Linked DNA regions of Anolis sagrei. The protein of the gene in region 1 purifies or fractionates together with the protein of each later gene. This does not show direct contact. Links are inferred from orthologs where the notes say so. Each region holds a gene or a part of one and is shown on either strand. Other genes may lie near its edges. The genes, in order: PXN, CTNNB1, ITGB1 and ARHGEF7.

Region 1 (7,430 bases):
CGCTCAAGGGCCAGGGCTTCCCAGTTCTTAGTGTCTATGCCAGAGTTTTTAAGGTTGGCTTTGAGCCCATCTTTACATCTATTTTCCTGTCCTTCAACATTCCATTTTCCATTCTTGAGTTCGGAGTAGAGCAACTGCTTTGGGAGACAGTTGTCAGGCAGATGGAGATGATGGCAGAGGACCATCGCTTCAATGCTGGTGGTCTTTGCTTCTTCCAGCACACTGACATTTGTCTGCCTGTCCTTCCCAAGAGATTTGCAGGACTTTCTGGAAGCAGCACTGATGGAATTGTTCCTGGAGCTGCATGTGACATCTGTAGACAGTCCACGTCTCGCAGACATATAGTAGGGTTGGGAGGACAATAGCTTTATAAACAAGCACCTTGGTATCCCTACAGATGTCCCGGTCCTCAAACACTCTCTGCTTCATTGGGAAAAATGCTGCACTCGTGGAACTCAGGCGGTGTTGTAGTTCGGTGTCAATGTTGACTTTGGTGGAGAGGTGGCTGCCAAGGTAGCAGAAATGGTCAACATTATCTAATGTTACACCATTAAGCTGTATCTCTGGCATTGGAGAGGGGTTGGCTGGTGACTGCTGGAACAGCACTTTGGTTTTCTCGATGTTCAATGACAGGCCGATTTTTTGGAGGATGGTCCAGAGAGCGCTGTGATTCACTGTGTCAAATGCCTTTGCAAGGTCAATGAATGCCATGTACAGAGGCAGATTTTTCTTGGAGCTGTTGTGCAGTTAAGACCATGTCCACGGTTCCTCTGGAGTGGTGGAAGCCGTTCTAGGATTCTGGGAGGGTGTCTTCTGAGAGGGGTAGAAGGCAGTTTGCAAGGATTCTTGCTAGGATTTTCCCAGTGAAGGTTAGAAGGGAGATACCTCGATAGTTTCCACAGTCCATTCTTTCCTCTTTTTTGAAGAGGGTGATGATGGTGGCATCCTTGAAATCTGCTGGGATTTTCTTGGTCACCCACACTTTTTCTATGAGCTGGTGGAGTTGTTGTGTCAGCTCAGGTCCTCCCTCTTTAAAGATTTCAGCAGGGATCCCATCAGGTCCTCTGGCTTTGTTATTTTTTGTTGGTTGATGGCATTGCTGACTTCTTCCAGATTAGGCAGTGCTGCAAGCTCATCCCTGGTTTGTTGTTGTGGGATTTGTGAGAGAACCTTTTCGGCCACATTGGAGCTGCGATTCAGGAGAATTTGGTAGTGTTCTTTCCAACGTAGTGTAATTGATTTTTGGTCCTTCAGGAGTTTGGTTCCATCTGATGAGTGTAGAGGCTGTGTGCCATGGTTTCTTGGTCCATAGATGACATTTGTGGCTTTGAAAAATCCCTGAGCATCATGGGTATCTGCCAGGTGTTGGATTTCTTCAGCCTTCTTTGTCCACCAGATGTTCTTGAGTTCTCTTGTCCTTCTTTGGACCTCAGCTTTTGCACTGGTGTAGATCTTTTTCTTAGCAGCACAGTTGACGTCTCTCTGCCATGTTTGGAAGGCTTTCCTTTTCTTGTCAATTAGCTGTTGGATCTCGTCATTTTCATCAAACCAGTCTTGATGCATCTTGGTTTGGTATCCAATACTTTCTTCACAGGCTGTGATGATGGAGGTCTTCAGTTTATTTCAATGTTCCTCAACATTTTCGGGGTGTTCTGTGGGTAGATGGTCCTTGAGTGCTGTTTGGAGATGGGTTCAATTTGAGGGCTCCTGAAGGGCTTGGGTGTTCATTTTGCACCTTGTCTTTCTTCCTTGGAGTCTGCGCTTGGGTTAGGATTAGCCTGTGGTCTGTCCAGCAGTCGTCAGCACCTGTCATGGCTCTTGTGAGGAGCACGTCATGGCGGTCTCTGGCACGTGTGATTCCTTAGTCTAAGAGGTGCCAATGCTTTGACCGGGGGTGCTTCCATGATGTCTTGAACTTGTTTTTTTCTGGCGGAAGAGCGTGTTGATGCCAAGGTTGTGTTCTGCACATTTGGTGAGAAGCAGGATGCCATTCAAGTTGCTGTTTCAAACCCCGTCTTTTCCTATGGTCCCTGGCCACAGGTCGAAGTCTCGCCCGACTTGCATTAAAGTCCCCCAGGAAGATGATTTTGTCCTCCTTAGGTATCTCCGATAGGACGGTGTCCAGCTGACAGTAATTTTTTTCCTTGATGTCTTCATCAGCATCTAGTGTTGGTGCATAGGCACTTATGATGGTTGCCTGTTAGTTTTTGGCAAGTTCAATTCGGAGGGTTGAGAGTCGTTCATTGATGCCAGTGGGTGCTTCGGTCAGATGTTTCACCAGATCATTTCTGATAGCAAAGCCAACTCCGTTCATTCTTTGGTCTTCTTCGGGCAGTCCCTTCCAAAAGAAGGTGTAGCCTCCTTTTTCTTCCTTCAGCTGTCCCTCTCCTGCTCTCCGGGTCTCCTGAAGGGCTGCTGTGTCGATGTTAAAGCATCCCAACTCTCTTGCAATGATGGCAGTTCTGTGTTCGGGGTGTTCACTGTCAGTGTTGTCCATCAGTGTCCGTACATTCCATGTACCAAAGTTCATTTTCCTTTTTTGGCCGCAGGGTGGTGACCCCACTGGATGCGGCAGTCCAGTCAGGGATAAGAGAGGCAGACTATGTTTAGGGCACCTTTTCTAGCCCCTTCCTCATGTGGGGTGAGCAGAGTGGATCCTCAAAAGGGCTACTCAGTCATGGATACAGCTGCCGAACTACTCAACTGCCTCGGACCTTGAGGTAGAATGACTGAGTCCATATCCATCCATGTGCCAGTCTGTGACTAGGGGCTTCCATATTTCACAGTCCTGCCCCCGTCACCACTCGCTGATCGCCATGGGACTTTTGTAGGTTTGTTTTTATTTTCTTTGGAAGACGCCTGTGCATGAGTTTTTTTAATGTGCGGAGGTCAGTGCACACTGATCAACACACAGTCTTCACAGAGTGAGGTTCCACTGGTGATGTAGTTTAACACAATGACCGTGGCTTCTCAATCTGTTGCAGCCTTCTTCCGTCTTCACAGCCATTGTAACATGTACCATATTATCCTCCGCCTGCTCTGCCATTGAGGTCTTTGGGTCTTCAGACTGTGCTTGGTCTGGAACCTCCCCCGTGGCCACTCCTGGGATTGCACGATTCCAGTTGTTGTGCCTGCAGTTTCATTGGAACACGCAAGCCCCCTCACCACGACAAGGTGACAGTCCATCGAGGGGGACGAACATAAATATATATACAGTATATATAAGAATGATTGACAACTGGAAAATAGAGGGAGAAAACGTGGAGGCCGTGACAGACTTTGTATTTCTAGGTGCAAAGATTACTGCAGATGCAGACTGTGGCCAGGAAATCAGAAGACTTCTTGGGAGAAGAGCAATCTCCAGTCTCGATAAAATAGTAAAGAGTAGAGACATCACACTGGCAACAAAGATCCGCCTAGTCAAAGCCATGGTATTCCCTGTAGTAACCTACGGATGTGAGAGCTGGACCTTAGGAAAGGCTGAGCGAAGGAAGATAGATGCTTTTGAGCTGTGGTGTTGGAGGAAAGTTCTGAGAGTGCCTTGGACTGCGAGAAGATCCAACCAGTCCATCCTCCAGGAAATAAAGCCCGACTGCTCACTGGAGGGAAGGATACTAGAGACAAAGTTGAAGTCCTTTGGCCACATCATGAGGAGACAGCAAAGCTTAGAGAAGACAATTGTGCTGGGGAAAGTGGAAGGCAAAAGGAAGAGGGGCTGACCAAGGGCAAGATGGATGGATGGCATCCTTGAAGTGACTGGAGGACCTTGAAGGAGCTGGGGATGGTGACGGCCGACAGGGAGCTCTGGCGTGGGCTGGTCCATGAGGTCACGAAGAGTCGGAGACGACTGAACGAATGAACAACAACAATATATAGACAAACATAAATATATATATACAGTAAATGACATAGATAAAAACACAAAAATATATTTTTAAAAACTTGCATCAGGCATAGTTTGGTGAGGCATGAGCATTCTTGGGCAGAGAAAGCCACAGAAATAATCAAACTTCCAGGATCCCATAGCAATGAGCCATGCCAGTTAAAGCATTGCCAAATTGCACTTATTCTGCTTCCTAAAAGAAGCATCAAAGAATGTCATGGGTTCTGTCTCCTTAGGCGTAGGCACTAGGCAGATATTCTCTGAACACTTCTGGTCTCCTGCATTTGTCTATAGTAGTACACCATTTCCCAGATTTGCACAGAAGCGATTGAACACAGCTTCTGCCTAGGCCTTCTCTGCCCCGCTCCCAATTCTTTCCTTGCGCCTCCCAGGCGCTGCCACTAGGGGAGTGGGCGGCGCTGTCGGGCCGCCTTAGTTTTCGAAGGTGCCTTCTGCGCGTGCGTCGATGCTCGCGCCCCGAGGGGCGGTCCTGGCTGGGCCAGGGGAAGGGAGGGGGAGAGGGCAGGGGGCGTCGCGCGCAGGCGCGGGGCGGCCAAGCAGAGGCCAAAGTTGCGGCGCCTCCAGTCAAGCGGCGGTCGGAGCGGGGAGCGGCGGCGGAGGAGGAAACATGGACGACCTGGGTGAGCAAAGAATCCGCAAGGCCAACCCAACTGGGGGGGGGGGGGGGTACGCCTTTCCCCACCAGACTCTCCACAAAACTACCACAATGCTCGTCTTTCTCCTCAGAACTCCTCACTCAACTCCCAGGATGCCCATCTTTCCCTTCAGGACGATCACAATTCCCATCTTTTCCCTCAGAATGATCACAGTGCTCCACAAACTCCCCAGAATTCCCATCTTTCCCCTCAGAATTATCACAGTTTCCCTCACAATTCCCATCTTTCCTTTCAGAACTATCACAATTCCCGTATTTCTTTCAGAACTATCACAATTTCCATATTTTCCCTCAGAACTACTACAATTCCCATATTTCCCCTCAGAACTATCACAATGTCCTCCAAATTTCCCCTCAGAACTATCACAGTGTCCCCCACAATGCCCAAATTTCCTCTCAGAACTATCACAGTGTCCCTTACAATTCCCATATTTCCCCTCAGAACTATCACCATTTCCCTCACAACCCCCAAATTTCCCCTCAGAACTATCACAATGTCCCCCAAATTTCCCCTCAGAACTATCACAGTGTCCCTCACAATCGCCAAATTTCCCCACAGAACTATCAATGTCCCGTCACGAATCCCATGTTTCCCCTCAGAACTATCCATTCCCATCTTTCCAATTAGAACTATCACAATGCTCCTTACATTTCTCTCTCTCAGCTCTATGCCTTTGCTCAGTTCCCCTCCAAGCACTCCCTCCTTCTTTTATGTTTTGTTTTGTTATTTCCTTCTCCCTTTACTGGTGGGTTTTTTTGTTTGCTTTTGTTTTTTGGAGAGTGGGAGAGCAGTCTGGTTGGTGCCTTACATTAGAATCCTCCCCAGAATCCCTGTCCCAAGTTTTCAGTTCCTTTCTTCCCCTTTCGCCTCGGTTTCCCCAACCTTACTTTCCACACAATTCTCTTGCATTAGGAAGTCTTCCCCTCATCTAAACTCACACCTCCTTCCTTTGCCTTGAGCTTCTCCCAAATGCTTGGGACCAGTTGTCTTTTGGGATTTTGCCTGTTTTCCCTTTCAATTTGAGAAGTGTTTGCATAGGCATAGGAGATGGGATCCAAGTCCAAGCTCCACATTCCTTTCTGTTTCATAGACACCTTAGAAACACAGCCAGGAGGTCTGTTTTTCATATTGTGGGGCACAAAACAAAGTTTGTTACAGATGGAAACTCACGTCCAAACTCCACATTTGTTGCTGTTTCATAGATCTTTGAAACACAGCTGGAAGGTCAGTTTACACACCATTTAAAAAATACATTTCTGCGCGAAACAAAAGTTAACTACCTTGAACCGTCAGAAAGCAAAGTGTTTGCTATTGCAACATTTTGGGATTTTGGAGCATTTTGGGGATTTGGGAAAAGGGCTGCTTAACCTGTATTTTTATGTTCCTCACCTCTGTTCCCAGTCCTTTTGCTCATAACCTCATATTTTCTCCTTAGGTCTCTTTTTTTTACAAAACCAAAATTGGGAGAAAAGTATTCTGACATGTGTCCTCCTCAACATGCTTTGGGGAAGGAAGAGAAAATGACCGATCGAGTAAAATCAAATATTTTTCTTGATGTACAAAAATTTCAGGCTGATCCTCTAGGAAGCAACGATAACCTAAAAATAACAGCGTAGTTCCCATTCTGCCAACCAAAATGTGATGCCAAGTAGTGAGCAAACTTTTGAATCCCCCCAGGAGTTCAGCATTCTGGTTTTGCTTAAAAACCAACCTGCAGAATTGCTTGGAAGAAGTTCACAGTTCGCATACTATTCTGTGTAATATTTTTATTTAGCCCTAATAAAGATGTTTGTCTTGCAGTTGCTTTCAGGTTGCTGCATTCTGAAGTGGAAGATTCTTTTGGTTGAACAAAAATGAGTTGAACAAGCCTCTTCTGTTGGCTTTAATATTGAATAACTGCTGTTGAACGTGGAATTGGATTCTGTGTAAACATGGTTAAGATTGGGGATGACAACATGGTTCAATTCAAGCTATGTATATGGCGTTTTGCAAACCTTGGATATAAGTTCTTGTTAGCAAAGAGTCTTTTCAAATGAAAAAGTCATTTTATTTTGTAAATTTTCTGAATTTTTACAAAAACAAACAGGTTGATCGCTCCTTACTTTTTGATATATCTCATAATATGGCTTTAGGGATATTCTTTCTGTACAAAAACCTGCAATGAATAAGTTAAAAGTTTTCCATCTCTTACTTTCCTTTAGGCTAAATTCAATTTTAGTCCCAACTCCAACGACTCACTGCAACGAATATTACTTGGTTCATCACTTTTTCTGCAAGTACCATTTCAATAGATGTAGTGAAGCTGTATGTAAAACTTAATCTAGCCCCTAGCTTACCCTCAGGCTCTGAAAGCTTTTTCACTTTGCCACTTCCCCAGTCTAGACTCAGAAATTGCCTGGACATTTGCCAGTGTATATGTATTGTGGTCTCAGTTTACTCTTCCTTCCATGTTGGCATGTTAGACTCCTATTGTGATTGTTTCCCTTTGCCAGGTGTACCTCATACCCCAGGCCTGCACACAATACCAAAAAGTACGTTCCATAGAACTTAATGGAGCCTACTTGTGAGTAAACACAAGAGTGCATTTAGTATGGCCACCCCCCTTCCCGTCTGCAAAACTTAGCCTTGGTTGGGATGGTTGTAAAAATGGTTCACAATCCAAAAAGTAAGTTGAGTATCATGTTATACTTTCAGCCTTTTTATGTGCTGTGTTTAAATGCTTTTGCCATCAGTGTCTTGCAAATGCAGCCATTTTCATATATATTTTCCACAATTCTAATTGTATTGCAGCAGCCAGTGGGAGTTACCAAAAATGTTAAATGTCTGAATAGTCCTGTTTAGTTTCTGGCAGCCTCTTTTCCCTTGTGACA
Region 2 (7,532 bases), on another chromosome or scaffold:
CAATATCTCTCTTGAATTGTGGTGCCCAGAATTGGACACAATATTCCAGATGTGGTCTAACCAAAGCAGAATAGAGGGGTAGCATGACTTCCTTAGATCTAGACACTATGCTCCTATTGATGCAGGCCAAAATCCCATTGGCTTTTTTTGCCGCCACATCACATTGTTGGCTCATGTTTAACTTGTTGTCCACGAGGACTCCAAGATCTTTTCACACGTACTGCTCTCGAGCCAGGCGTCCCCCATTCTGTATCTTCGCATTTCATTTTTTCTGCCAAAGTGGAGTATCTTGCATTTTTGCTGCCTTGGGACAGAGAATAAAATGGGTTAGAATTAGATGATACATTCAGCGCCCACAAAAGACTTAAGGGACCCGCCCACGCCAGACAACTACAAATCTAAGTTGCACAACACAAACCGTTTTCTGTGTAGCCTGATTTAGACGTGAGTCCCGATGAGATTGCTATAGAGAGAGAGAGGGTCTGGCTCCTGCGTCAGGATGTGGATTGCATCTGGGCTGCAGAAGGAAACTCTGACTCCCCCCCCCCCTCCTCTTTTGGGTTGTATCCCCTCCAAGTAAGCTTCCTACTCCTCCCCTCCAGCAGTTTGCATAGGATTAATGGCATTAGGGATCAATCAAGCGAGAGCTATCTTAAGGCATCAGAGAGCTCTTTCTCTCTCTGAATCCCCCACCAAAGACCAGGATGAAAGGGCGGCGCGCGGGTCCGAGCGTCCCTCACGTGGCCTCCCTGCCCTTAGCCCCGCCCACTTACAAGGGGGCGGGGCTAAGGCTGTAAACAAAGCGCCAAATTGACTCTGGGATTGAGCCAATGCATTTTTTAATCGTGTCAAGAGCGAACCAAAACAGTTGTATTGCATTAAAAACAAACAAACCACAAAGTTTGCAGATTTGGTATTCTATTAAATGTCCTTTGACCAGTATCTGGCCACTTGGAGTGCCTCTGGTGTTGCTGCAAGAAGGTCCTCCATTGTGCATGTGGCAGGGCTCAGGTTGCATTGTAGTAAGTGGTCTGTGGTTTGCTCTTCTCCACACTCGCATGTCGTGGATTCCACTTTGTAGCCCCATTTCTTAAGGTTGGCTCTGCATTTCGTGGTGCCAGAGCACCTTCCAAATCACCCAGTTTTCTGTGTGCCCAGGAGGGAGTCTCTCATCCGGTATCAGCCATTGATTGAGGTTCTGGGTTTTAGCCTGCCACTTTTGGACTCTCGCTTGCTGAGATGTCCCAGCGAGTGTCTCTGTAGATCTCAGAAAACTATTTCTTGATTTAAAGCATTGACGTGCTAGCTGATACCCAAACGGGGTGGGCTGGAGATGTCACTGCCTTGGTCCTTTCACTATTGGTTACTACACCCCAGCAGATGTCAGGTGGTGCAATACTGACTAAAGTGTAATTTCTCCAGTGGTTTAGGGCACAGACACCCCGTGATAATGCGATATGCGGTTTGAGCCTGCCACTTTTGGACTCTCTCTTGCTGAGATGTTCCATTAATCTGACCTGATCACCATGCTCAATATATCCCATATGCATGGGGATATTGGGATAATGATACAAAAGGTTTGCTAGGGTAGATCCTCAGCCCCCTCCTAGAGCTTTGGAGAGCTTCTGTTCAACCATCTCAAAGCTCCCTGCTTGAGCAGTAATGGCATGATCATCAGCATAGATGAAACTCTGTCCCTTCTAGCAATGGCTGGTCATTTGTGTAAATGTTGAACATTGATAGAGCAAACACGCTCCCCTGAGACAGGCAGTTCTTTGGCCCTGGAACTCAACAAAAAAGCTCCTCTATTGTAGCAGAATACTATAGTACAAGGATCAGTCTCAGCAATTACCCTACTAGGGGCCACTCAATTCTAGGGTCAATTAAAGGACTATAAAAAAAGGTCTAGGCCAGAAGAAAAGGTGCCCTCAGATGACCTGGAACTGGGGAATGAATGGAGTACAAGGCCAACTCCTAACTGTTGGACCAAGGGCTTGAAACTAGTTCTTATCGAAGGCCTGATGAAACCACCAGGTCTTCAAGATGTTACGGAAGGAGGTGAGGGATGGGGCCAGCCTTATCTCCTTGGGGAGTGCGTTGGGGGGCCACTACCAAGAAGGCCCTCTCTCTTGTCAGCACCAGCCAGGCTTGAGACAGTGGTGGGAGCGAGAGGAGGGCCTTCCTGGTGGATCTTAGTGTCTGTGCCAGTTCATAGAGGGAGATGTCGGTTCATAGAGGGAGATAGGTGGGGCCCGAATTGTTTAGGGCTTTAGATGAATTTGGCTCAGCAACTTATCGGCCAAGATGCATTAATCCTACAGTTGATCAGGCAAGGGCAAACTTGGGCCCTTAAGCGGCTGAGGGGGGAAAGGAAGGGGCCTGAGGCTGTTAGGAATGGTGGGAGCTGAAATCCAAAACACTTGGAGGGCCCAAGTTTACCCATGTCTGTTGTAGATATACTTCCCTTCATCTTTTCCTTCCAGGCCTCAAAATGGCAGGCTCTCTCATGTGGAAACACTTCCCATCCACTTCTCTTGTTGACTTTCCCGTTCCAGCCTGGAGTGAAGTTTGGAAACATGTGGGGGACTTTTGTTAGGAAGTTTCCCACACCTTTTTCTGTTTATTTTGACTTTTGAAGCCCTTCTGCTCCTTTCAAGGCCTTCTATGAAGAGAACGCACTAATGTAAACACAGCAACTTGCCTTGTTGAAAGGATAGGGAAGAAGCGCCTTCTTTGGAGGCTTCGAAACAGAGGCTGGGTGATGGCCAGTTGTGCTTTCCCAATTCAAACTGGATGATCCTTGAGAGAGGCATGAGGATGGAAGTCTTCTGGAGTTTGAAAGGAGTGGCAAACAATATTCATATCTAGCAACATTTTTATTTTATTTTGTAGCAAAAGCATTGCATGAATTAGTATAAAACTGATAAAAATAGAAGGCTCACAGGCGGCTAAATATCTTTTGATTCAAAACGGGCAACAGCAATGGCATTGTCTATAGCCTCCAACAATTCCTCCTCTGTACATGAGACAGGGCACAGTGGACAAACATACAGATGTGGAGTTGTCTGTTCCACTCCACAGTCACACAAGCAACACTAAAAAGGCTTGGAAAAGTCAGGAGGTAAGACAAACTTTTGAATTCCTTCGTTTTTGTTTCCTCTTCGCGGATCCTGAGGGAGACATAACATCCCAAGTATTTGCTGGGTTTCCCTGAAACGACATGATTGGGGACTACAAGTGCTGGTTTTGACCTATAAAGCTCTATACCAGTGGTTCTCAACCTGGGGTCCCCAGATGTTTTTGGCCTACAACTCCCAGAAATCCCAGTTAGTTTACCAGCTGTTAGGATTTCTGGGAGTTGTAGGCCAAAAACATCTGGGGACCCCAGGTTGAGAACCACTGCTCTATACGGTTCTGGCCCAGCTTATTTGTCCGAACGCATCCACCCCTACATCCCACCGCATAGGAGGCCCTGCTCTCGCTCCTGTCAACAGCACAGAGGCGTCTGGCGAGGACGAGAGACAGGGCCTTCTCAGCTGTGGCTTCCTGCCTATGGAACACACTCCCAAATGAGGTAAGATCTGCTCCCTCCCTCCTGGCTTTTAGAAAAAAATTAAAATCATGGTATTGGGACCAGGCCTTTGGGCAGTAGAAGGAAATGTATGCAGCATTTCAGAAAGACAATGACTGGAATGGCGATTTGACTGACGAAACTGTTTTATTGTTTTAACGATTGTTTTATTACTTGTGGATGCACTGTTTTTAACTTGATTTATGTCTAATTGTTTGTTGTTCATTCGTTCAGTCGTTTCTGACTCTTCGTGACCTCATGGACCAGCCCACGCCAGAGCTCCCTGTCGGCCGTCACCACCCCCAGCTCCTTCAATTGTAGTGTATAATTTTAATTGTTTGTAGTGGCATTGAATTTTGCCATTACTTATGTGTAAACCGCTTTGAGTCCCCCTCGGGGTGAGAAAAGCGGTATACAAATACTGTAAATAAATAATAATAAAAGAAATACAAGTCTTCTGGTATAAAAACCATACTAGGATGCAAAGGGGTGCCTGTAGCTTTAAAAAAGGAGGAGGGGGGAAAGAGAGAGAGAGAAGCCAGGCTCTGCAGCCCGCGCTCGCGCCTCTCTCCCCTCAGGTTGCGGGAAGCCGCCTCATTCCTCGCGTAGAAAAAGGTGTCTCTCTCTCTCTCAGTTCCCAAAAGTAGCCCCCTCCGCGCCTCATTACACTCGGAGGCGAATCCCTGCACCCTCCCGCGCGCTCCCACAATCCCTTTCCTTCTCGATACACACTGAAGCTCTTCTTTTCCCCTCACTTTATCTCCCTCCGCGTTTAGTTGCTTCCTAGAGAGAGAGAGAGAGAGAGGGCGCGCGCGCCTCTGTGTGTGTATGTGTGCGCGAGCACGAAGCAGGCCGCTGATTGGGCGGAGCGGGGACTATTTTCTCTACCTTGTGGAATGCTGCGCGCGCGCGCTCGGGGCTCGTCGGCGGCAGGATACACAGAGAAGTCTACACCCTCACTATAAGAGGCTCCTGGTGAGCGGCGCCATTTTAAGCCTCTCTCTCTCTTGGTTCGGTGGGAGCGACGGCGACGGGGGGAAAAGGACCGTTCCGGGCGAGGTGAGAAGCGGGGGAAAGAAAGGGGGTTTCCGTCGCCTGACGCGAGGGATAAAGGGTTCGCGGTTTGCTGCAGCTTCTTTCCTTTCGGGGGCTTCCTCTCTCCCCCTTCGCGCTTCCCCTCATTCCTCAGAGAAACTTGGGCTTGGTCGCACTACTTTTCCTCCTTGAGGTTGGCGGAGGGAGCAATAATAAGGCAGCGGTGTGTTCCCTACAGGAAGTGAGTGGATTTTGGTGTGTTTTGGAGGGAGGGGGAGATAAGTGTGAGGCGGGGAGAAATGGCAAAGTGAGTGGGGCAGAACTTGGGGAGGGAGAGAAGGAGGGAGGGAGCGGTTGAGGCAGGAAAGGGGGAGAGTTGGGTCCGAGAGGGGGAGGTCCCGGCGTGTTTGCTCCCATTTTGGGGGGTGGGTGAGTGAGTGAGTGGGTGGGACGGAGCTACCCCCTCCTCTCGCCCCTTGTGTGCCCGCGATGCAAGTTCTCGCAGTGGGATCGCCTTGCACAAGGGCCGCTCCGTGCCTTGTTTGTTGTCCTGCGGTGGGGAGGCTTTCTCGGCCTGCGTGTTGTACTTTCTACGGTGTTGAGGCGAAGGGAGGTTTCCAGGCAGCGATCCGCCCCAACTCTCTCCTTCCTCACGCGGATCCTGGAGGTGGGGATCCCTGCAAAAGATCTCCTCAAACCGCAATGCCTCGCGAGCGGGCGCCTTGCACGACATGGGATTTGGGAGCCCTTCCGTCCCGACTTCCTGGCGGGGTGTCGCCTCCAAACCTCCAGCGAGGGGCGGGGGGAGGGGATGGGAAATCGTCTCGGGTTTGTTTGCATTGTGTGCAATGAAGTTCCTCTTCTTTTGGCTTTGGTTCAGGTTGCATACTTTGCGGGAGGGGCGCTCTTGGTTGCTGGAGCCCTGAAAGTGTACTATGCAGGCTTGCACGGCTTCTGTGCAGGATCCGACTAAGCACACCATGTTTTGTAGCTCAGTTTAAAAGTGTAGATGTAGGGCAGGTTTCGATGGCTTCTGTGCAGGATCCGATTAAGCACACTATGTTTTGTAGCTCAGTTTAAAAGTGTAGATGGTAGATGTACGGCAGGCTTCGATGGCTTCCGTACAGGATCCGACTAAACACACCGTGTTTTGTAGCTCACTTAAAAAGTGTAGATGTAGGGCAGGCTTCGATGGCTTCCGTACAGGATACGACTAAGCACACAATGTTTTGTAGCTCAATGTATTGTCGAAGGCTTTCATGGCTGGAATCACTAGGTTCTTGTGGGTTTTTTGGGGCTATATGGCCATGTTCTAGAGGCATTTTCTCCTGACGTATGCATGTGAAACGTCAGGAGAAAATGCCTCTAGAACATGGCCATATAGCCCCAAAAAAACCCACAAGAACCTTTTGTAGCTCAGTTTGAAAGTGTAGATAGTAGATGTAGGGCAGGCTTCCGTACAGGATCCGACTAAGATCACGGTGTTTTGTAGCTCAGTTTGAAAGTGTAGATCAGGCATGGGCAAACTTTGTCCCTCCAGGTGTTTTGGACTTAAATTCCCACAATTTCTAACAGCCAGAGGGGGAGAGTGTGGGATGCCTTCCACGCAGCTGAATACAATCCCACATTTATTTTGTTTTGAACTGGAATATGTGGCATTGTAGACTCGGACAATCTAGTTCAAAGCAGATATTCTAGGATGATATTCTGGGTTATATTGCTGTGTGGAAGGGCACTTGGGAAGCCATTCCCATTCCAGGGAAATGTACTATTTCATTTGTTGTCTCCAGCAGGGGAAAGTATCCCAAGGCTTGTTTAGACATCTCACCTGGAAGATATTTTGGGACTGTTGGTCCTGCCATTTAATTTGAAATTGCATTAGCTATGAAAGTTGATTTATCCCCTCCCCCATATTTAGAGGGAGGGGTGTATCTGCATATTACTTTGAGAGCCCTTCCACACTGCCATTCATCCCAGGATCTGATTCCACATTATCTGCTTGAAACATGGAATATATGAGCCCCTACTGCCAGATAACCTGGGATAATCTTGGGGCCCTTCCGTACAGCCATGTAACCCAGAATACCTTCTTTGAACTAGAATATGTGGCAGTGTGGACTCAGATAACCCAGTTCAAAGCAAATATTGTGGGTTATTCTTTTATATTCTGGGTTATATGGCTGTGTGGAAGGCCCCTTGGATCAGATTCTGGGATAAAGGGCTTGTGTGGAAGGGTCCTGAGAGTACTGCTATGACTTATGAAAAGCTGTTACCTAAATACATTAAATCCACAGAATTGTGCTTTCTGTCTTTCAGGTGTATAAAGAAGCTGTAATAATTTAGTACTGCCTTTAAAAAGAGCTCAAGACATGTGTGTCAATGGGAATGTAAAAACAAATCTAGATGAAGTTGTGATTTATCAATAAGTGTTTTCTAATGGTATTTCCTGATATCTTGGAGTAACAGTACAAGCCTAGGTATTTCAATAAAACTTCAAGCATAATTTTAAATATTCCACTATGCCCAATCAAAGTTGGAAATGTTTGCATTCCTGACCTGAATGCCTAACCTAACTTGAGGGCGTTGCCTTGTTCCTGCAGTTTAAGTAGCAATTTTGGAAGCTGCTAAAATAGTGCAGTTCTCAGCAGAAAACTATGTAACACGTTTGCTAAAGTATTTTATGCCTGTCTTTCACTGTACCTAGAAATGCTCCCCTCATAATACAGCATGTTTATAAGATAAATTTATCTAACTTGATAGTTGACTCCTTCCTGTATAGATATATAGATCTCCTTCATAAATCCACAGATTATATCAACAACAAAAATGAATAGTTGTTTAATCCATAATCTTCAGTGAAATAATCATCACTGAGTACTTCAAATTAGCAGTACTACCACGGAAAAATAACATGACACATTATCTT
Region 3 (7,929 bases), on another chromosome or scaffold:
AGCACACTTAGCAATAATACAGCGTTTCCCAACTGGGGGGTCGTGGGGGGGGGGGTCAGAGGGGTCTCCAAAGACCATCAGAAAACACAGTATTTTCTGTTGGTCATGGAGGTTCTGTGTAGGAAGTTTGGCCCAATTCTATTATTGGTGGGGTTCAGAATGCTTTTTGATTGTAGATGAACTATAAATCCCAGCAACTACAATTCGAAAATGTCTAGGTCTATTTTTCCCAAATGCCATCAGTGTTCACGTTTGGGCATATTGAGTATCCATGCCAAGTTTAGTTCAGATCTATCATTGTTTGAGTCCACAGTGCTCTCTGGATGTAGGTGAACTATAACTCCAAAACTCAAGAATAATGCCCACCAAACTCTTCCAGTATTTTCTGTTGGTCATGGAAGTTCTGTGTGCCAAGTTTGTTCAATTCCATCATTGGTGGAGTTCAGAATGCTCTTTGATTGTAGGTTAACTATAAATCCCAGCAACTACAACTCCCAAATGACAAAATCAATCTTCCCCCACCCCAATCTTCAAATTTAGGCATATCAAGTATCTGTGCCAAATTTGGTCCAGTGAATGAAAATACATCCTGCCTATCGGATATTTACAATACAATTCATAACAGCAGCAAAAATACAGCTATGCAGTAGCAACAAAAATACTTTTATGGTTGGGGATCACCATAACATGAGTAACTGCATTCAGTGGTCATGGCATTAGGAAAGTTGAGAAACGCTGCAATAATATATCACTTCACAAACTAGGCATCACTACAGAAATACAATAAGAATATAATTCAATCATAGTTTTGCTATCAAACCTGGAGAAACATGAGTAATATGCCATCAACACGCCTATTCAGATATCCTTGATACTAATGAAATAACATGTTAATTAAAAATGTTTTCAGTTGTTTTTGTAAACCCAAAATATTAGGTTAATGTTGAGCATGAATATGATTTCCTAGTTTTTTTCAAACCCTAAAATATTTGACCTACTCTAGTGGAAATAGTAATTAGAAACAGCCAGCAGGAATTACTTCTAAGAAAACGCAGCACATATTACTGATTGTTTATATGAAAGTGGAAAGTTGGAGATATCTATAAACCTCAGTCAATCTTTACGATGGCTGCATTTCAATCCAAACTGTCACTTGAGATGCAAAATTTGGTCAGTTGTGTTATGATAGCAGAAATATTCTGTTTTTATCCAGGCATGCTAAGCAAGCATCCTTGGTATTTTACTGTGTCCCAATGCCAAACCTTGTGTTGTGTTTTCCAGAAAAGAATGAAAGCGGTTGGCTGCAGAAATATCCAGTTTCTTGATCATCAACAGACATTAGCAATAGTAGACATGGTGATTAAGGTTACTGTTTCTATGCTTAATATACCCTTTATGGCACACAGTAAACTACTTAAGTGTCTGGAATAGATAGTGAAGTTCTTCTTTGATGACTGTTCAACAGAAAAACAGGGAAACAGGGAAGAGAATTCGCCTTTTCAAGGCTCTTCAGTGATATTCCAAATGAAAAGAGCAGGAAGGGCTGCTTTTTTCTCTACCAATCCATGTAGAAGTGTCTGTTGGGGGCAGGAATACAAAAATAACAAGCTAGTATATTTGTCATACCAAGTAAATGATAAATAATGTACTTTGGAATAACTCTTTAGGCTACGTGAACATCGACAACCACCTTCAAGACAACACATATAGAGAGAACAGGGAAGAAATAAAAGCTCCAAAACTGGTCATTAATAATAATAATAATAAAGACAGAGAACAGGACTGATTGCTGATGGGTCCAGACTAGAAGCTGGATACAAAACAGATTTCAGTTTCCTCCCAAAGACAAAACCATGCAACGAAGAAACAGACACTTCTTGCAACAAAGAAACAAAGGCTCCCACCAGTCAAACTCTAAATGCAAGCAGTTATTAAAATCCCACACCAACAAAAAGCAAGTTAGTAGAGCTCTGCTTTCCTTCTATATGTCTGATTAAGGGTGCATCTCTACAGTGCAGCATGAATGCAACTTGACATCACTTTAAATGTTGTGACTCAATGCTGTGGAATCCTAGGAGTTGTAGTTTAGTGAAGCACCTGAACTTTTTGGCAAAGAAAGCCAAAGACTTGGGGTGCATCTCTACACTGTAGAAATATTATTATTATTATTATTATTATTATTATCTGCTTTTATCTCTTGATTGAGACCCAATGCAGTTCTACACCACTTGAACAGCCATGACTTAATGCTATGGAATCCTGAGAATTGTCACTATGCAATTATTATTGAAACACAACAAGATAAGTCCACAACAAACAAGAACACTCTGCTGGTTGTTGTATTGGATCACAAGTCAGACACTTCCCAAGTGTCTAGGGCTGTGTGATGTATTGGCGAATAATGCATGCAGATCCCAGTAAGGTGGCCTTTTGCAGCTGACAGATGGTGATTTTGTCAGCACCGATTGTGTTTAAGTGCAGGCCAAGGTCTTTAGGCACTGCACCCAGTTTGCCGATCACCACTGGGACCACCTTGACTGGCTTGTGCCAGAGGCTTTGCAGTTGTATTATTAATAATAATATTATGTTTATTATTATTATTATGTTTATTATTAGTATGTTTGTTTATACTCTGCTTTTTCTCTCCATAAAAAGCCTTTTGCCTCCCCTGACAAAGAATGTTGTCTCACCAAATTACAACTCTCACGATGCCATAGAATGGAGCCATGGTAGTTCAAGTGGTGTCAAACTGCAATAATTCTACAGTGTAGAGGCACCCTGGATTTACTGAGGCATAGGAAAAGAGAGCAGTGATTCCTGATAGCCAAGAAGGCAAATGGAAAGGGTGCAGCAACACCAATGTGCTTTGTGAGGCCTAATTTCCCCTGAAGTGTGGATGTGCCCTGTAGAATGAACACTGTTTGACAACATCTTGAATTGCCAAAGCTCAAGGCTACGGAATTATAGACCATGTAGTTTGGTGAGGCACCATCGCTTTTGGGCAGAGAAGGCTGGAGTTTGTAAAATTTCAGCTCCCAGAATTTCTTAGCATTGAGCAAGGAAGGTTTGAAGTGGTGTCACATTGCATTCATTCTATAAATGCACTAGGAAACACTACCGGCATTAATTCTGGGTTGTTATGAGCACAGAGTTTGCATGGGATCCTAAACTTCCAGAAGAAAGCTTCCCAAATTTTGTGAGGCTTGGGACAAGAGGACTGAGACTCAAAATGGAAATGGAGGTGAAGGAAACAGGTGAAGCAACACTTTAGGCCCCTTCTAGTACATCTTGATATATATTAGGCATGGGTAAACTTTCTAAATTAGGGTCTGCATGGCGAGCCAGAGCGGGATTGGGGGGCAGGAAGGAGGGGGTTCTCTCTAAGTCCCCTTGCTGCCCTTTCCTCTTCTCTTTCAGAGGCAGAAAGTGATGGAAATACAGGAAATGTTTGGATCCCAAAAGGGTTGGCCTTGATCAGGATGAGAGGGTGAACAGGAGAGAAAAAGTCTATCCATTAGACACTGTATAGAATCCTGATATAGAATCCTAAAGCTGGAAGAGATCCCCCAAGGACCATACAGTCCAACCCCCTGCCATGCAAAAAGGCACAATCAAAGCATTCTTGAGAGATAGCCTCTGCGGAAAAGCCCCCAGAGAAGGAGACTCCACCACACTTGTAGGCAGACTATGCCACTCTGCAAGAGCTCTCACACTCAGGAAGTTCTTCCTCATCTTTTCAGTAGAATCTCTTTCCCTACCATTTGAATTCATTGCTCCCTTGGTGCCCTGGTCTTTAGAGCAGCAGAAAGTGAGTCTCCCCCCCCCCCTTCCTCCTCAATGAGGCACCCTTTGAAATCTTGAAACATGGCTTCATGTTTCCTCTCTAACATCTCTTCTCCCAGCTAAACATCCCCAAAGAAGGAAGGAAAAAGAGAGGAAGGAAAGATGGATGGATGGAAGGAAAGATGGGTGGAAGGGGAGGGAAGGAAGGTGGAAAGAGAGAAGGAAGGAAGGAAAGAAGGAAGGAGAGATGGGGAAGGAGGGAGGAAAGAGGGAAGGAAGGCTGAAAGGGTGGAAGGGACAGAAGGAGGGAGGGAGAAAGAGGGAGGAAAAGGGAAGGGAAGGAGTCAAGAAAGAGAGAAGGAAGGAAAGATGTATGGAAAGAAGGGAGGTGGAAGGGAAGGAAGGGTGGGAGGAAAGAGAGAAGGAAGGAAGGAGAGAGGGCGAAGGAGGGCGGGAGGGAAGGAAGGATGAAAGGGTGGAAAGGAAAGAAAGAGGGAGGAAACGGGAAGGGAAGGAGGCAGGAAAGAGAGAAGGAAGGAAGGAAAGAGGAAAGAAGGAAGGTGGAAGGGAAGGGAGGAAGGGTAAGAGGAAAGAAGGAAGGGAAGACAAAAGGGAGGGAAGGAAAGAAGGAAGGAGAGAGGGCGAAGGAGGGAGGGAAGGAAGCATGAAAGGGTGGAAGGGAAAGAAGGAGGTAGGGAGAGGGGGGGGGAGGAGGCAGGATCATGAGGGGGGAGGGCTGTGAAAAGAGCCCAAAGGTCTGCCGCATCCGGCCCCCATGCCTGGGTTTTCCCATGCTTCCCTTAGTGCCTTGTGAGGCCTAACTCTCCCTAAAGAGTGGACAAAGGAGAAGTGATGCAGTTTGGCACCACTTTTCAATGGCAGGGGATTGTGGAAGTTGTTGTTGTGGAAGTTCTCTGCCCAAAGAGGCGGGTGCCTCCCCAAGCTACGAATCCCAGGCTCCCTCAGCCTTGAGCCAAAGCGGTATGGGGCTGAAGTCGTGGAGTTGGCGGCCAAAGCCGGCTTCCTGGAGGCGCAGCAGAGCTTGCCCTGGAGGCGCCTCCCTTCCAAGACGGCGGCGAGAGGGGAAGCCCCGCTCCTCCTCCTCCTCCTCCTCCTCGACGAGGCAGCGCTCCGCCCCGAGCCTGACGGCAGCAGCCAGGAATGCGTTTCCGGAGGCGGCCAGAGAAGCGAGCTGGGCCTGGCCCTCCTCTCCCCGGCCCTGAAGAGGCGGCCTGGCTCCGGAGGACAGAGGAGGAAGGCAGGGAGGAAGGCGCTTCTGCTGGCCCTTCCCAGCCTTGAGGCGCAGAGTTGGGCCTCCCTTGGAGAGGAAGGAGAAGAGAGGAGAAGGAGGAGAGGCTTCAGGGAAGAGCCACCGCCGCCATGGCCCAAGTAAGAGGACTCTGCTTCCTTGAGGTGCAACTACATGTGGCCTGGACAAACTTGGGCCCTCCAGGTGTTTTGGACTTCAACTCCCACCATTCCTAACAGTCTACTACAGCTCCCAGAAGCCCCCAGCCTGCGAATGCAGGCTGGGGGCTTCTGGGAGCTGTAGTAGGCTGTTAGGAATGGTGGGAGTTGAAGTCCAAAACACCTGGAGGGCCCAAGTTTGCCCAAGCCTGCTCTCTATGGATTAACGCAACTTCTAATGGCCTTCTTGTCTTTGTAGCTTCTGGGAGGAAAGGAGGGAGGCCAAGGCGTGGCAGAGGCATTGCTGGACTCGTGTTGGGAGGCCATCCCAGCCCTTCCCTTCCCTTCCCTCGCCTTCCCTCCTTCCCACCTGCTTGAAACAACCGGGACATTTTATCCCACCTCCCTTTGAGGCAACAGTGTTGCGGCAAAGTTCGGATTTGTGGGCGAACTGATTCATTGTGGCTCTACTTTCCTTCCATAGGAACCCAGGCTGCAAAGGCTTCTGCCACCTCTAAATCACAGAGTTGGGAGAGACCACAAGGGCCATCCAGTCCAAGCCCATTCTGACACGCAGGAAGGCACAATCAAAGCACTCCCGACAGATAGCCATCCAGTTTCAGTCTCCAGAGAAGGAGACGCCACCAAACCCCGAGGTTGGGTATTCTATTCAACAGTCAGGGAGTTTTTCCTATTGTTTAAATGGGATTTCTTTTCCTGCAATTTGAATCCATTGCTCCCTGGCTAAGGCCCCTTCTATATAGCCCTATACCCCAGAATATCATGGCAGAAAATCCCACAATATCTGCTTTGAACTGGGTTATCAGAGTCCACACTCAGAAAATGTGGGATTTCCTGCCTTGATATTTTGGGATATAGGGTTGTGTGGAAGGGCCCCCAGAACATTAAGGCAGAAAATCCCACAGTATCTGCTTTGAACTGGGTAATCAGAGTCCACACTCAGAAAATGTGACATTTCCTGCCTTGATATTCTGGGATACCTATATCCCTATAGCCCTAGCTGTGTGGAAGGGCCCCAAGAACATTAAGGCAGAAAATCCCACAATATCTGCTTTCAACTGGGTTATCTGCATCCACACTCAGATAATGTGGGATTTCCTCTCTTGATATTCTGAGTTATAGGACTGTGTGGAAGGCCCCTAGGGCCCCTTCCACTTAGCTGTATAAAATCCCACATTATCTGCTTTGAATTAAGGGCCCTTCCACACAGCCTTATATCCCAGATATCATTGCAAAAAATCCCATATTATCTGAGTGTGGACTCAGATAGCCCAGTTCAAAGCAGATATCGTGGGATTTTCCGCCTTGATATTATGGAATATAGGGCTGTGTGGAAAGACCCTAGGTTATATGGCGGTGTGGACTTAGGACCCTATCAGACAGGCCCTATATCCCAGGATCTGATCCCCAGTGGCGTAGTGGGTTAAACCAGTGGTTCTCAAGCTGTGGGTCCCCAGGTGTTTTGGCCTACAACTCCCAGAAATCCCAGCCAGTTTACCAGCTGTTAGGATTTCTGGGAGTTGAAGACCAAAGTATCTGAGGGCCCTTCCACACAGCCCTATATCCCAGAATATCAAGGCAGAAAATCCCACATTATCTGAGTGTGGACTCAAATAACCCAGTAGAAAGCAGATATTTTGGGATTTTCTGCCTTGATATTCTAGGATATAGGGCTGTGTGGAAGGACCCTGGGGACTCATAGGTTGAAACCCATTGGGGTAAACCCTTGTGCCTACAGAACTGCTGACCATAAAAGTCAGCAGTTTGAATCTGGAAAGCAGGGTGAGCTCCTGTCTGTTAGCTCCAGCTTCTCATGCAGGCCCATGAGAGAAGCCTCCCACAGGAACGCAAAACATCTGGGCATCCTTTGGGCAAGATCCTTGCAAACGGTCAATTGTCTCACCCCAGAAGCAACTTGCAGTTTCTCAAGTTGCACATGACACAGAAAAAAAATTCCAGGTTTTCTGTTTATCCCAGATTATTTTGCAGTGGAGACTCCTATAATCCAGTTTAATGCGGAAAACCTGGCATCAGATCCTGGGATATAGAGCCTGAGTGGGGGCCCTTCCACACAGCCATATAATCCAGAATATAAAGGCAGAAAATCCCACAATATCTGCTTTGAACTGCCATATATCCCAGTTCAAAGCAGATAATGTGGAATTTTATTCAGCCGTGTGGAAGAGGCCTGGAAGGACTGTCAGATAATCCAGTTGAAAGCAAATATTGTGAATTATCTGCCTTGACATTCTGGGCTATATGGCTCTGTGGAAGCGCCCCTAGTATCCAGGGCAGTGGTCTTCATTGGAACATCCTTTCAAATATGTAAATATAGCTCTCATGTCCCCTCTCCATCTCCTTTTCTCCAAGCTAAACATATCCATCTCCCTCCCTCAATGCTCCTCTTATTAGTGCTTGGCTTCCAACCCTTTGTCTGTTTTGGTATCAGTGATGTTAGCATAATGTGCCTTTGAAAGGGAAAAGAGGAGGGAAAGGGCAGGATGTAATTGGAGAAGTTTTGGGGTGCGTCTGTACTGTAAAATGAATGCAGTTTGACACCACTTGAACTGCCATGGCTCAAGGCAATGGAATAGTGGAAGGTGTTTGACAACGTCTTTAGCTTTCTCTGCCAAAGAGGGCTGGTGCCTCACTAAACTACAAGGCCCATGATTCCTTGTCCTTGAGCCAGGGCAGTTAAAGTGCTGTCAAGCTGCATTA
Region 4 (7,934 bases), on another chromosome or scaffold:
CCCTGTGGAAAGCTGGTAAGTCCCGCAAGGCACGGACTTCAGGTGGCAGAGTATTCCAGAGTGATGGGGCCACTGCTGTGAAGGCTCTGCGTCTCGTTGCTGTTAGACACAAGGTCTTGACACTGGGGACTTCCAATAGATCTTGGTCCTCAGAACGGAGGGATCTCTGGGGTTGGTAGGGGGTGTATTAGGTGGTCTGTGATTTGCTCTTCTCTACACTCACATGTCATGGACTCCACTTTGTTTGGTCATAGAACAGTGTTTCTCAACCTTACTAATGCCGTGACCCATTAATACAGTTCCTCATGTTGTGGTGACCCCCAACCATAAAATTATTTTCCTTGCTACTTCATAACTGTAATTTTGCTACTGTTATGAATCGCAATGTAAATATCTGACATGCAGGATGTATTTCCACTCTTCGAACCAAATTTGGCACAAATACTCAATATGTTCAAATTTGAATGCTGGTGGGGTTGGGTGTGTGTGTGTGTTTTGACATTTGGGAGTTGTAGTTGGGGGGATTTATAGTTCACTTGCAATCGAAGAGCATTCTGAATCCCACCAATGAGAGAATTGGGCCAAACTTCCCACACAGAACTCCCATGACCAACAGAAAATACTGTGTATTCTGATGGTCTTTGGTGACCCCTCTGACACTCCCTCGTGACCCCTCCAGGGGTCCCGACCCCCAGGTTGAGAAACACTGTCATAGAAAATTGTCGGTGACCATGAGCAAGTCCTACTCTTTCAGCTCCAGAGGGAGCCGATGGCAAAATACTTTCAATAAATCTTGTCAAGAGAAGCCCATGATAGGCTCACCTTAGGGTTGACCAGAATAAAAAAAAAGGTGTCTGCAATCCATTCTGTGCAGTTCCTTGGGAATGAAGTACATTGGACATCTGGGGTAACAATTCTCAGTAGACACTATGATTATAATAGTCTTCATATTTAAGGATTACACCAGTAATGGATGGGGAAAGTAAACCTTAAGATCACCCTATATCATCAATGACCTGAAGGCATACAACAATCACATCAACAAAATGTGTGCATCAAGGGATGAAGACTCAGCACTCTTCTGTCCTGTTGATCCTTTTGTAAACTTGATAGTTTTTGCCCATTTACTTGTAACTTAGACATGTGTAACCACACTGTTTATCTATACCAATGGTTCCCAACCTTTCTTTGACGAGGGACCACTTGACCAGGGACCACTCTCCAACATTAGTACTAAAAGGGTTACAAATAAGTTTTTGGTCAACTTTAGATTCGTTTTGGTTATCTGAGGTGGTGATTCAGGAAATTGCATTGGATAGACCACATCAGCTCTAGTTTGTGATCCAGAACGTATGACATCCAGTAGACGCCATCTGCTCACCCACAGAAAACCATATTTAATCAGCCTTGGCACTAGAAGAGGGTTTTGCGATACCAGTCACTCTTGTTGCAACGGTATAGTAATGGTGAGACTGTGGACCATATTTTAGTTCTTATGGACCACTGGTAGTCCATGGACCACAGATTGGGAATCACTGATCTACATGGTTCCTATTTGAATTATCTCAGTTATTTGATTTACCTGTTGCATCTCTATAATTTTACAAATGTTACAGAACATTCGTCAGGTCCTTCTGCTCTACAGCTTCAACTGCCCCACAATCCACAAACAGTCTTAATATTTAAGGATGCAATAGAGGAAAATAAATTGCCCCCCATGAATATCATGAAGTTGGCAAAATTAACAATAGCTTGCAGTGACAAGTCCTCCTATCTTAATCCTATTTTAGTGTTAAGTTTTTGAGGTTTTAAATTGTGTAATGTATTGTTAGCCATTTTGGGTTTCATTTTAGAGTGAGAAAGCAGGATATAAATCAGGCATGAGCAGCCTATTGGCTGTTGGGAATGGTGGGAGTTGAAGCCCAAAACAACTGAAGGGCCCAAGTTGGCCCATGCCTGATATAAATACATATACATATAATAATATGTTTGTGAAAGTTTGCTTTGATGTTTACATCAGGCCAAGATGCCCATACGTTTAATCCATTTGGAACTGTTTAATGAACAATTTGTATTTCTAATGCTTTTGGTAGTCTATTTTCAAATCTTTTTAGACTAGGGGGGAGTCTATTTGTCATTGCATCAGTGATTCCATGTATTTTAAGATCGGTAATTATTGCTCTTTTTAGTGTTTTTTTTTTTTTTTTAAGTGGGGGGAGAAGATATACCTTTAAAAATCTATTCCTAGAGACAGGAAACCAGTTCATTTGTCTGTGAGGTTTCTCTGCCGCCAGGAAAAGGAAGAAGCCCAAGCCCCCCCCCCCCCCCCCCGTTTCCTTTCCTACCTCTAGCTGCTGCTGCTGCTATTTCCATGGGATGAGCTCATTCACTCGCGCCTTTGCGCAAAGCAATTCGTCGCCAGGGGGCGCCCGAGGCCGGATCCCAGCCTGCTGAATACAGACCCGAAATCTAATTCGTGACCGATAGATTCCCCCGCTCCTTCAGGTGGCCCGGGAGGGATCCGCATGGTCGGTCGACGGGATGGGGTGGGGAGGAGGCTCCGCTGAAATAACACCCCCCCCCCCGCCGCTCCCCTTTCCCTTAGTGCTCTTAAAATGAATTGGAGAGATCGCATGTCAAGCGCTTGACAGCTTGGGCAACGGGCTGCCCATTGAATTCGGATTCTGGTGCTGCAAAGTGACAGCTGGGTGGATCTGTTTGGTTCACGTCGTGGGAGGCGCACCAAGGCCGCCGCCGCCGCCGCCGCTACACCCCCCTCCTCCCTCTAACATGGTGTTTCAGCCACCTGGCGGGATGCGACTATTGGTGTGTGCGGTGCGCCCCCCTCCCTCCCTCCCTCCCAATGTATATAGGAGGAGGGAGCGCATGTGCATTTATCTACCCATGTGCATAGATCTAGCCATCTATTTCTCTATCTAGATACATGGATCTATCTATCAGTCTATTGATCGAGATCTGTCTATTTCTCTATCTGCCCAACTCTATCCATCTACTCTATCTGCCTATTTACCTATCAATACACACCTACGTATCTATCTCTTATCTATCTGTCTATCTGTCTTTTTCTATAGACCTACCTATCTACCTAGATCTATCTGTCTATACAGACCTACTTATCTACCTAGATCTATCTATCCATCTGTTTTTACAGACCTACCTACCACATCTATCTATATCTATCTATCTATCTATCTATCTATCTATCTATCCAGACTGACCTATCTACCTCTTATCTATCTGTCTGTCTATTTTTACAGACCTACCTATATACCTCTTATCTATCTATATCTATTTTTACAGACCTATCTATCTATCTACCTACCTACCTATCTGTTTTTATTTATTTATGACATTTATATGCCACCCTTCTCACTTTGAAGGGGACTCAGAGCAGCTTACAAGATATATATACATACAATATATTATATTATTAGCATAGCACAATATCAGTATTATATATTACATATTGTACTACACCATCTTATTGTAATAATATTACAATACAATGGTACAGTACAATATAGCAATTTTACATGTAATATAAAATATATAATTATAATAACATATTATTCATAGTAGTATTATTATATTGTATTACATTATAATATTATAAATATTATATGTATATGTACATTATATTATATTAAATTATTTAGCATAGCGCAGGAGATGAGGTGGAACTGTCTTCCTGGCCCTCTCTCTTCACTCTGGTCCCAGACCTACCTATCTATCTCTTATCTATCTATCTATCTATCTATCTATCTCTCTATTTATATAGACCTACCTATCTACCTAGATCTATCTCTCAATTGATCCTCTATATATACAGGCCTACCTATCTAACTAGATCTATCTATCTATCTATACAGACCTACCTACCTACCTAGATCTGTCTGTCTGTTTATTCTTACAGACCTTCCTATCTACCTAGATCTAGCTAGCTAGCTATCTGTTTTTACAGACCTGCCTATCTACCTAGCAATGGTTCTCAACCTGTGGGTCCCCAGATGTTTTGACCTCCAACTCCCAGAAATCCTATAAGCTGGTAAACTGGCTTGGATTTCAGGGAGTTGTAGGCCAAAACACCTGGGGACCCACAGATTGAGAACCATTGACCTAGATCTATCTATCTGTCCATCTGTCAATTATACAGGCCTACCTATCTACCTAGATCTATCTATCTATCTATCTATCTATCTATCTATTTACACAGATCCATCTATCTATCTATCTATCTATCTATCTATCGAGGTCTGTCTGCCTGTCTATCTATTTATCTGTCTATTTACACAGACCTACCTATCTACCTAGATCTGTCTATTTATACAGACCTACCTATCTCCCTAGATCGATCGATCGATCTGTCTGTCTATTTGTATAGACCTACCTCTCTACCTAGGTCTGTCTGCCTGCCTGCCTATCTACCTAGATCTGTCTATAGAGCTACCTACCTACTACCTACTTACCTACATCTATCCTCTCCCCCCCCCCCCGCCCCGCCCTCCTCGGGATGGAAAGCGAAGCAAAGGGATCCCGTGGACGCCGGTTTTGAGGGCGGGGGGGGGGGCAGGTTTCGCAGCGCAGAGAGGGAGACGCGGGGCAGGTCTCTCTGCGGGTGCCCATAAGGGTGACCCACACCCATCCCTCCATCCTCAGCGCCTTGGCCAAGGCAAGGGTGGCGGCTTTTATGCGGGGGCTCCTGGAGGAGAGGAGGGGGGCTGAGCCTCCTTCTCCTCCTCCTCCTCTCCTCTCCCCCTCCCCTCCCCATCCCCTCCCTCCTCAATGATGTCATGGAGAGGCAGCAGGAGGGAGGGAGGGAGGAGGGGAAGAGGAGGAGGAGGAGGAGGGAGGAGGATAGAGGCGGCGGCGGCGGTGGCGGCCCTGCAGGTCCGTGTGTGCCTGTAATGAGGAGGCGCCTGTCCCTGGGCCCAGAGGCTCCGGAGGAGGGAGGAACCGGGCCGGCCCCCCGCGGCTCCATGGCCAGGAGGAGGCAGCCAGGCCCGGAGCGGGGCGCCTCCTCCATGTGAAGCCCGGGAGGAAGGTGGGCTGGCTGCCGAGCGAGCGAGGGAGGGAGGCAGGCAAGGCAGGCAGAGGGGTCTTCCCCAAGACATCAACCGCCCCCCCCCTCCGATTATTGAGAAATTAGACGCCCCCAGCCGTGCTATTTGTGCAGCCCTGCTGCCCCCCCCCCCTGGATTGGATTGGGATAAAGGGTTCCGGGGCCTGGCTCCCCTCCCCTCGCCGCCTTTCCTCTGCTTGGCCTCCTCCGCCGCAGCCATGAATTCCGCGGAGCAGACCGTTACATGGCTGATCACCCTGGGGGTGCTGGAGTCGCCCAAGAAGAGCATCTCGGACCCGGAGGGCTTCCTGCAGGCCTCGCTCAAGGACGGCGTGGTGCTCTGCAGGCTCCTCGACCGCCTCCTCCCCGGCACCATCGACAAGGTGAGTCCGGATCGGACGCGGACCCCCCGCTTTCCAACCCTGCGCGGAAGGGGGGGAAGGGGGTTGAGACTGAGACTGAGACTGAGAGGGGGAACCTGGGTCTAGGATGAGGCTGGTGGGGTCTCCCTCTCCCTTTCTCCCCTTGCTCCTTTCCCCTAGTATCCACTATCCCCTGGGTATAGGATGAGGTTGGGGGTCTCTCTCTCTCTCTCTCCTCCTTTCCTTTGCTTCCCCCAGTATCCCACCCCCCACCCTCATCTCCCGCATGGCACAGTTTCGGATCTGGGCAGGATCAAGCGACACCCCCCTTTTCCTCCCCCTCCCGATCCGCTTTCCGCAAAGCCCTCCAGACTGGGGAAGACAAGAGAGGCTGGGGGAAATGCCCAGCACTTTCCTTTGTCCCGCATTAGCCTTGCAGAGGCAGGAAACGGGGGTCTTTTTAAGGGGAGCCCCCTCCCCACCCTATTTCCTCACCCCCTCGCATTGACATCCTTCCCTTCTCGCTGGGAAGGCGCCATTGTCAAGGCATGGGAGGGGGCTTCTCTCTTGGGAGGGAGACAGAGTTTGGGGCTGAGCAGCTCCTGCCTGCCTTGGGAGGTGGACCCCTCCCAAAAGGAGCTTTCCTTTGGTTCTCAATCATGACAAAACACATGTGGTTGGGCCCAGATCGCCCACAAAACCGTGCACTGCCCTAGGAGCGATGCTCAGCCCCACCTGATAGATCTACAGCAGATGGTGGCTCTTTTCCCCCCATCCTGTTTGAATGAAAACATGCTCGTTTTAGGGCATCCCTTGTTCTTTAATGAGAAATCACATCAAGGCCAAGAGGCAGGAAGCTTTTACAGCAGGGATGAAGGGCCTCCAATGGGATCCCTTCGCGGTCTATGAACAAGGCGCATGGTTTTGATGCTAGGAGTCTTTTTCAGATCCAAAGGCCAATTTTCTGGCCTCTTTGATAGTCATAGAATCCTAGAGTTGGAAGAGACCTTGTGGGCCATCCAGTCCAACCCCCTGTCAAGAAGCAGGGAAATAGCATTCAAAGCACCTCAGAGAGATGGCCATCCAGCCTCCAAAGAAGGCCTCCAAAGAAGGAGCCTCCACCACACTCAGGGCTGGCTATTGACAGGATGGACAAGCTCTCGGGCCCTCGTTTTGAATGGGATGTCAAAGCCTTCACAAGATTTATGTCAGAAGTCTCTATGATGTGGATATAATGATGTGCAATATTAGATGGGTAGACTAGAAGGAGCCACTACAGTCCCTGTTGCTTAAATAAGTCCTTTTTTAAATGAGGTGTGTCTCTCTAGCACTTCGCGTTGCAACATGCTGACCTAATTTGCAAAGGCACAGTTTGTGTGTGTTATTCTCCAAGATTTTAGTTTTGAGATTTCATTACTTGATGCTTTCTAAATCTGTTCAAATTGGAAAAAATATTGGTTTGTGTGGGGTTTTTTTTCTTGTCTCAAAATGTAAAATTCACAATATTTTTGTAAGATTCATAATATTCTTGGAAAATCCATAATATTCATGTAAAAACCATAATATTCTTGAATGTTTGTTCTTTTAAATATTATGTTGCCAAAGGCTTTCATGGCCGGAATTACTGGGTTGCATTCTCTCCTGACATTTTGCCCACATATATGGCAGGCACTCTCAGAGGTTGTGAGGTCTGTTGGAAACTAGGCAAGTGTGGTTTATATATCTGGAATGTCCAGTTTCCAACAGAGCTCACAACCTCTGAGGATGCCTGCCATAGATGTGGGCAAAACGTCAGGAGAGAATGCTTCTGGGACATAGCCATACAGCCCGGAAAACTCACAACAAGCCTTTAAAATATTGTTTCAATTCAAGTGATTACAGATGTGTGTTTTATTCTTTGTCTAAGAACCAGATATTCTGATTAGCACATTGCATTTCAATTTCCCTGGTTACAGTTCTGGAAAAATTGGTGCTTGTTCATTGATTCCCCCCTCTATAAACTATGGTGAACTTTGACCTACATATTGTTTTGCTTTTATTCTCTTTCATTGGTGGGAATGGGAAGCCCAGGCTAGTTTTTTTTTTTAAAGACGTTCCATGGTAATGTGAACTTGACATAAGAGAGGAACTGTTGTCTTTTGGAAAGGATATCCTAACCTGAAGTTTTGGCATTATTTCATAGATCTTTGTATCTTTTGAGTATCATTTGCATGACAGTAGCCTTTAGGGGGCAGAGTGGCTATTGGCAAGAGTGGTTTGTTTTTTATAATTGCTCTCAAATTGACTTTGAATTACAGGACACTATCCACTTCATCACATTCATTAAATACTACTGAGCCATCCACTTAAAAATGGCAACCTACTGTGTTCATCATATGACACAGTCTTCAAGTGTAGGGTAGAAATATCTTGTGGGTGAAAAAAATTCACAAGGTTATCTTTGAGATGCTTTCTAAGCTTGTTAGCAAGTAACTTTTTTTGCAGATTATCTG

The links.
Region 2: the proteins of PXN (region 1) and CTNNB1 purify together in Homo sapiens (affinity purification with western blotting; 3 studies listed by BioGRID and IntAct, with this or other methods). This does not show direct contact. The link is inferred for Anolis sagrei from reciprocal best matches to the Homo sapiens genes PXN and CTNNB1.
Region 3: the proteins of PXN (region 1) and ITGB1 purify together in Homo sapiens (affinity purification with western blotting; 3 studies listed by BioGRID and IntAct, with this or other methods). This does not show direct contact. The link is inferred for Anolis sagrei from reciprocal best matches to the Homo sapiens genes PXN and ITGB1.
Region 4: the proteins of PXN (region 1) and ARHGEF7 purify together in Homo sapiens (affinity purification with mass spectrometry; 3 studies listed by BioGRID and IntAct, with this or other methods). This does not show direct contact. The link is inferred for Anolis sagrei from reciprocal best matches to the Homo sapiens genes PXN and ARHGEF7.

Annotation. Positions count from the first base shown.
Region 1 is NC_090034.1:45,993,965-46,001,394, reverse strand, and holds the start of PXN (paxillin), read left to right. Parts: upstream 1-4,415; 5' UTR 4,416-4,511; coding exon 4,512-4,524; intron 4,525-7,430. UniProt on the Homo sapiens protein: Cytoskeletal protein involved in actin-membrane attachment at sites of cell adhesion to the extracellular matrix (focal adhesion). Recruits other proteins such as TRIM15 to focal adhesion.
Region 2 is NC_090026.1:76,601,295-76,608,826, reverse strand, and holds the start of CTNNB1 (catenin beta-1), read left to right. Parts: upstream 1-4,516; 5' UTR 4,517-4,630; intron 4,631-7,532. UniProt on the Homo sapiens protein: Key downstream component of the canonical Wnt signaling pathway.
Region 3 is NC_090026.1:112,675,173-112,683,101, reverse strand, and holds the start of ITGB1 (integrin beta-1), read left to right. Parts: upstream 1-4,927; 5' UTR 4,928-5,163; coding exon 5,164-5,172; intron 5,173-7,929.
Region 4 is NC_090023.1:109,923,649-109,931,582, reverse strand, and holds the start of ARHGEF7 (rho guanine nucleotide exchange factor 7), read left to right. Parts: upstream 1-4,930; 5' UTR 4,931-5,298; coding exon 5,299-5,463; intron 5,464-7,934. UniProt on the Homo sapiens protein: Acts as a RAC1 guanine nucleotide exchange factor (GEF) and can induce membrane ruffling. Functions in cell migration, attachment and cell spreading. Promotes targeting of RAC1 to focal adhesions. May function as a positive regulator of apoptosis.